Linked DNA regions of Macaca fascicularis. The protein of the gene in region 1 interacts with the protein of each later gene in a pairwise test. Links are inferred from orthologs where the notes say so. Each region holds a gene or a part of one and is shown in the gene's direction. Other genes may lie near its edges.

Region 1 (3,619 bases):
ATCTCGCTGTGTGGTCTGAAGCAAGTCACTGCGTCTCGCTGGGCCTCCCCAGCTCTAAAACAGCAGGGCTGGTCCACATATCCTCTGAAGACCCTTTCAAGGCAGATTCTTATTTTCTTTTTTTTCCTTTTTGAGATGGAGTCTCCCTCTGTCACCCAGGCTGGAGTGCAGTGGCTGGATCTCAGCTCACGGCAACCTCCACCTCCCAGGTTCAAGCTATTCTCCTGCCTCAGCCTTCCAAGTAGCTGGGACTACAGGCGCCCGCCACCACGCCCAGATAATTTTTGTATTTTCAGTAGAGACAGGGTTTTGCCCTGTTGGCCAGGCTGGCCTCGAACCCCTGACCTCAGGTCTTCAACCCATCTTGGCCTCCTGAAGTGCTGGGATTACAGGTGTGAGCCACTGCACCTGGCCTCAAGGCAGATTCTAAAAGACAGCCCTGACTTATTTTTCCAGAGACAAGCCAAACGGCATTTGTGGATTTATTTATTTATTTACGCATAAGCTTTGTTTTATCTTCAAATAGAAAAAGACATTTTACTCCTCCATCTTCTGAGGTATGGCCAAGCACTCTTCTTTGAGTGGGAGTGTGCTATTGGGAGTGTCTCCTCATTTTTCTTGCACAAACCATTCCCATAAGGCAGGCATTTATTTTTAAGCAAACATTTATTGCATGCCAGATGGTGTTCATACATTATCTCATTTAACTCCCTCAACAGCCATGTGACTCAGGCATTGATATTAGTAATAATAGTTCATGTTTGCCTAGCACTCACAACTTGCCTAGCACTGGGCTGACAGTTTTACATGCGCCATCTCATCTAGTCTTCACAACCACCCTCAAAAGAACCATTATTTCATGGCTCGCACCTGTAATTTCCAGCACTTTGGGAGGCCGAGGTGGAAGGAACACTTGAACCCATGAGTTCAAGACCTGCCTGGGCAACATAGCAATAGCCCGTCTCCACAAAAAGAAAACAAACAGGCCGGGCGCGGTGGCTCAAGCCTGTAATCCCAGCACTTTGGGAGGCCGAGATGGGCGGATCACGAGGTCAGGAGATCGAGACCATCCTGGCTAACACGGTGAAACCCCGTCTCTACTAAAAATACAAAAAACTTAGCCGGGCAAGGTGGCGGGCGCCTGTAGTCCCAGCTACTCGGGAGGCTGAGGCAGGAGAATGGCGTGAACCCGGGAGGCGGAGCTTGCAGTGATCTGAGATCCGGCCACTGCACTCCAGCCTGGGTGACAGAGCGAGACTCCGTCTCAAAAAAAATAAATAAATAAAATAAAAAGAAAACAAACAAACAAAAAACACATTATTTCCCCTACATACCAGATGAGAAAGTTGAGGCACAGACAGGTTGAGCTCCTAAAGCCAGTAAGTAGTAGAGAGGAGATTTCAGACTTCCATGGGTTAAGTCCAGAGTTGCTGCTCTTTTTGTAGTTTTCTTTTTTTAATTTATTTATTTATTTATTTTTGAAACAGAGTCTCACTCTATCATCCAGGCTGGAGTACAGTGACATGATCTCGGCTCACTACATCTGTCTCCCGGGTTCAAGTGATTCTCGTGTTGCAGCCTCCCGAGTAGCTGGGATTACAGGCACATGCCACTGTCCCCAGTTAATTTTGGTATTACCAGTAGAGACAGAGTTTTGCCATGTTGCCCAGGCTGGTGGTCTCAAACTCCTGGCCTCAAGCGATCCTCCCGCCTCAGCCTCCCAAAGTGCTGGGATTACAGGCGTGACCCACCACTCCTGGCCCAAGTTGCTGCTCTTAACTGTGAAGTTCTCCGGCCTCCCACAGTTTATTATTATCCCTGTTTCCCCGGTAGGGAAACTGAGGCCACAGAAGTGAAGCCCCTTGCTCAGGATCAGCAACGGTGACGCGACAGAGGCTCAGAGCCCTGCCGCTGGGTAACGGCAGCAGCTTGCCCAGCTGGTGGTGCAGGTTGGCAGATCTATTGAGTCCCAGGGGCCCTGGCTGGAGGAGATGTGCAGCCTCGCCTTCAGAGCCTGTTTTCCTTAACCAAGTGCCTCCCGCTGCCCCCTCCCCGGGGGTCTCCGGAACCATCCTCAGCTACATTGTGCAGGACCTGATGGAGACTGACCTGTACAAGTTGCTGAAAAGCCAGCAACTGAGCAATGACCACATCTGCTACTTCCTCTACCAGATCCTGCGGGGCCTCAAGTACATCCACTCCGCTAATGTGCTCCACCGGGATCTAAAGCCCTCCAACCTGCTCATCAACACCACCTGCGACCTTAAGGTCAGAGGGTTGGGCACCTGTCCCCTCCTCCCCCAGGGTCTGGGGCTTCCAGGTGACCAGTAGAAGCCTTGGGCAGGAGAACATTGCAAGCAAGGGGAACAGTGGAGGCAAAGACAAGGGGGCGTGACTGCTTAAGCTGCAGAGGCCTTGAGCACCGAGCTTAGCAGCTTGGTCTGATTCCAGATTTGCGATTTCGGCCTGGCCCGGATTGCCGATCCTGAGCATGACCACACCGGCTTCCTGACGGAGTATGTGGCTACACGCTGGTACCGGGCCCCAGAGATCATGCTGAACTCCAAGGTAGGAGGGGCTGCCCACTCCTGAAGGGAAGGGACCAGGTCCCAGGAAGCCCTGGAGCTACCTCCGAGCCAGATACCGACCCCCATGACACAGGAATTCCACCCTCTGGGCCTTGGGCTCTGCAAGGAAGCTGAGCATTGAGCCCTCCAGGCCTCTGCCTTCTGCCTGGTGTTGGATCTAACTTGGAGATGGTGGCTTGGTGTAGAAACAGGACCCTGTTGAGGCTGGCCCAGGAGCCCACCACTTCCTCCTCTCTCCCAGGGCTATACCAAGTCCATCGACATCTGGTCTGTGGGCTGCATTCTGGCTGAGATGCTCTCTAACCGGCCCATCTTCCCTGGCAAGCACTACCTGGATCAGCTCAACCACATTCTGGGTGAGGGAGGCCCGGCTGGCTGAGTGGGGGATGATTACCTTCTCCAAGGTGAGATTTCTCAAGAGTCCAAGTCAGGGATACCACCACGTGTGGGGCGCCTCCAGCATCTCATGGTATCTCAATGAGGTATAGATATTATCCCCATTGGATAGATGGGAAAAGCAAGTCTAAGTCCCACACCTAAGGAGGCACCAGACCTAGGATTTGAGCCTCGGTCTGCCTGAATCCAGCCCCCTTGCTCTGCACCACCATGCTAATGACTAGGAGGTAACTGAGGGATTGGCATGGGTTGCTGGGCTGGGGGTCTTGTTCTTGCCTTGTTGCCTGTTCTGTTCCCAGAAAGAAGGAGGTGATCATTTACCAAGTCACCTCCTTATCCACAGGCATCCTGGGCTCCCCATCCCAGGAGGACCTGAATTGTATCATCAACATGAAGGCCCGAAACTACCTACAGTCTCTGCCCTCCAAGACCAAGGTGGCTTGGGCCAAGCTTTTCCCCAAGTCAGACTCCAAAGGTTTGAGAGACATGAGGACGGGTGTGGGATAAACCCTGGGTGCCATGGAGGGTACGGGAGCCCAGCAGCAGCTGGAGGAGACAGGCAAAGTGATGCTTCTGGGAGCTTCTCCAGTCTTCCCTGTGACCCCTGACTCCTGCCCTTCTATAGCCCTTGACCT
Region 2 (3,751 bases), on another chromosome or scaffold:
ACCTAGCTAATTTTTTAAAGTGTTTTTTTTTTTTTTTTTTTTTTTTTTTTTTTTTTTTTAAGAGGCAGAGGTATTGCTACAGTGCCCGGCCTGGTTTCCAACTCTTGGTCTCAGGTGATCCTCCTGCCTTGGCCTCCCAAATCACTGAGATTACAGGTGTGGGCCACCACACCCAACCTCAGATTTGTAATTATTTTCCTTGCTACTTCTAATTTTTTTAAAAGCATAAGTCAGTGGGCAGCAGGTTTTGGAGGTCAGACCCGTAAGAATTATTTCTTGCAGCTTCCAGATCCCCATCCTAATGATGAACACCTGTGCTAGGCTTAGTCAAATTATACTGTTTCCCAGTAAACTCTGGTCTTCAAGGAAGCTGAAACCAGAGGAGCTCTAATAATACATGTTTTTAACCTGTGGTTTGGGCTTGAGCCAATGGCATCAAACAGAGAGCAGCTAAAATGAGCTGTTGCAAGTGAAGGTTTATCTAAAAAATAGTTAATGAAAAACTTTGAGAGCTGCAGGGATGCATGACAGATTGGCAACTCACTTTGAGAAAGAGACTATTCCCAGTTCCAAGTCCCAGACACACAGCCTGCGGGTAAGTCATCAGAAATAAAATAAGTGGGGAAACGGGACAGGGGAAAAACAGTACCCTCTAACATCTATCAACCATGCAAGCCAAAGCTAGTGATGAAGTTAAATAGACAACAATCCTTAGTGTTTATTTTCTGTTCAGTGAGGTTGCCAACCTGAGCTTCCAGAGGACTAACACCACAATTAAAGGCAGGCAGGTTCAGGGGAACACAATGAAAGATGGACCAAAACAGAGTATTTTGATGTTTAGATTGAAATCTACTATTGGCTAGGAAAGCGGTGTTTATTGTGTCTAAAGACAATAATACTATTATACATCCAGCAATTATGGTCACAAGGCCACTCAAACAAGTAGTGGTTTGTTTTGGTTGGAGAGAAAGAACCAAGGCTTTGCTTGCAGTATTGCTGGGTATATGGGTTTGGTTTTGTTGCAGTTTAGTGGGCTGTGGGCTTTTGCAGCCACCCTCAAAAGGATGAAGAAAATTTTAAACAGCTTCATGGTTGGTAACAGGAGTCCCCTGATCCCTTCAGGAAAACCAAAGATACTCAGGCCAGTAATTTAATCAGGAGAAGATTTATCAGCTGGAGTGACAGTTTTAAAGGCACAAACTCTCTGTGTGATTCTAAGCAGATATCGAGTCCAGTTGAGAAGCCAGTCAAACGGATAATTCTCGGAGTTCTCTACCAGCTATTCTGAGTCTGAGATCTGCCTTCTTATTCTGGCAAATCAGAACCAATGTTATTCTCCCAGATTTGGGGCATCATATCTATTATGGGTCATGGCGCCCCCTGAAGTCCAAGGCCTTTCATTTCCATCATCTACCTGGATTCCTGCCTGGTTATCTACTCTTCTGTTGAATGCAACCTATTCTACAATCCAGAGCTCAAACTATTCCACAACCCAGAGCTCTCTGGCCTCTCAGAGAAAAGGTAAGATTTCTAAACCTTTCCACAGATTCACATAAGTCAGGATATACCTTTAGATAGAAAATGTTAAGCTTCAGGCCACCCTCCCTGCTGAGTTCTAATGAGAATTCAGAGGCCAGCTTTCAGTGCATTCTGAGGAAGGAAAACGGTTCTCCTCTGTTGGCCCAGGAAACACACTATCAAATGCAAGCACCAATACTGAGGCTGATGAGTTGTATGATTCCAGGCAAACTGTAAATCCTTCCTGGGGTTCTCTATGCATTTCCCTTTAAAGTAGAAAAGAAAATAAATGCCTCCCTATTCTGCATGCTATTTGGGCAATAAAGTGCTACTGATTTGTGAACTTCAATAATAATAAAATAACATTGGAAAAACCTGCACCACCACCCCTACCCTCACCCCCGAAAAGACTTCAAACGTTTGATGAAGCTAGGGCTTCAAGCAAATTCGAAAAAAAAAAAAATCAATAATTTGAGCTCCTCCTAATTTTCCTGACAATCAATTTTCTCATAGGATGCTTATTTTCAGCTTTACAATCTGCCAACTAGCTCCTCCAAACCTCATTTGTGACCCCTTTACAGGGGAAACCTAGAGGTTAATTAACAGATGATTGTTAGTTCCTGAAAGTCGCCCTGTGATTTAGTCCCGAGGTGGCCTAAGCATCTCCATCCCTTGTTAGGAAAAGACTCTCTGGTTCAATATTAATTTCTGTAGCTTTTACAATTCTCATTGGGATTAACATTTAATCAACAGAGCAGTTTCCTTTTTATTTCATTATAGAAAAGTTTCAATAAAATAGAATGGTGCATTATACTGTAATGAATGACAAACACTGGTAAATTTTCATTTAAAAATCAGTAAGTTGAAACAAGCAGTTGTTTCATAACGGTTGGGTCATCTCAATTTAATGAACAGTAACTAAAAACACATTAAATAAATGCCTGAAATGGAAAGGGAGGCATAGTTATTGTCCCACGAGGCTGTGTGATCCTCTAAGAGAGGGCCTATGTTGTGTTAATTTTTCCTTAGCTGATGATTGGAGCAATACCAAGCAGTTACTCAATAAATACTTGCCAGATTGAATATATTAATAAATGCTTCTGTGTATAGAAAGGTATTTTCTTTTAGGAAAAAAGTTACTTCATTTTGCTAATTGCAGCCACCTCTCAATGAATGGGGATGATCACAAGGGATTATATATATATCTTCTTTTCCTTTTATAAATGTTTATAGTAGCGATTCTCAAACTTGTGCTTGCATGAAAATTATGTGGGGAGTGTGTAAAACAGTGATTTCTGGGCCCCACTATTAGAATTTCTGATTTAATATTCTGGGGAAGAGCTCCCAAAATGCATACTTCTAAATTCCCAGGAGATCTGATGCTGCATTCTGGAGATCACACTGAGAATCACTGGCTTATAGCATCTATCTGTATGGCATTGGTGGCAATTTCCATTTATTCATGTACAGGTGAAATCTTACCTAGAGCAGGTCCTCACACACAGAAAATACCTGGGGAACATTCGCTGACTGCACAGATAATTCCACCCTCATTGTGGGGAACGTAACACTATATTGCTGCTGTGTGCATAAATGGCTTTCATTCCTAGGCTCCCATCAGCTATGAAAGAGAGCATAGCAGTTTTCTGTTGGCCTTTTCTTTCATGTGATAAATTGCCATTAGAGTGCTACCCTAGGCATATATTAATTTCCTTGGGGATCTAACTTTGACTCTTCTGATGCCGCTCACAGTTGCTATAGCTGTGTGTATGACTCTTTGGCCCTTTCACACAGGGTGGCTGTCACTGAAGTAATAATAGAAGCCATTGCCATTAGAGCCTGCCAGTGGTATGGACTCTGTGACTCTACCTTTGAATTTGTATATTTTATTCCAATTAAACCTCTACATCTGTATTTGCTTTCATCTAGCAAACTGTTAATTGTAGGTGGCTTTGGATATATCTGATTGTGCTGGCCATGGAATATCTGTCCATCTCATGTAAAAAATGTGGGAAAATATTTTATTAGGAAAAGAATGGCCAAAATGGTTATGCGTTTTGATTGGGGTGTTTGATTTGTTTGCTTTTAAGTATTAGGGCTGGGCTTCAAGGCCTCATCAGCAGCTCCTCACCTTGTTTCCTTTCTGAGCAGTAGCATCAATTGCTATGTAACTCTTTAACTTAGGGATACATATGTTGGGGTAGTGCCTTAACTTTGAGGGTACGTACATTGG

Evidence for each region. The genes of interacting proteins can lie anywhere in the genome.
Region 2: the proteins of MAPK3 (region 1) and DCC interact in a two-hybrid assay, tested with the Homo sapiens proteins (2 studies listed by BioGRID). The link is inferred for Macaca fascicularis from reciprocal best matches to the Homo sapiens genes MAPK3 and DCC.

The regions. Positions count from the first base shown.
Region 1 is NC_088394.1:27,975,680-27,979,298, forward strand, and holds part of MAPK3 (mitogen-activated protein kinase 3), read left to right. Parts: intron 1-2,078; coding exon 2,079-2,268; intron 2,269-2,451; coding exon 2,452-2,568; intron 2,569-2,829; coding exon 2,830-2,944; intron 2,945-3,327; coding exon 3,328-3,459; intron 3,460-3,609; coding exon 3,610-3,619.
Region 2 is NC_088392.1:37,292,628-37,296,378, reverse strand, and holds the start of DCC (netrin receptor DCC), read left to right. Parts: upstream 1-989; 5' UTR 990-1,370; coding exon 1,371-1,521; intron 1,522-3,751. UniProt on the Homo sapiens protein: Receptor for netrin required for axon guidance. Mediates axon attraction of neuronal growth cones in the developing nervous system upon ligand binding. Its association with UNC5 proteins may trigger signaling for axon repulsion.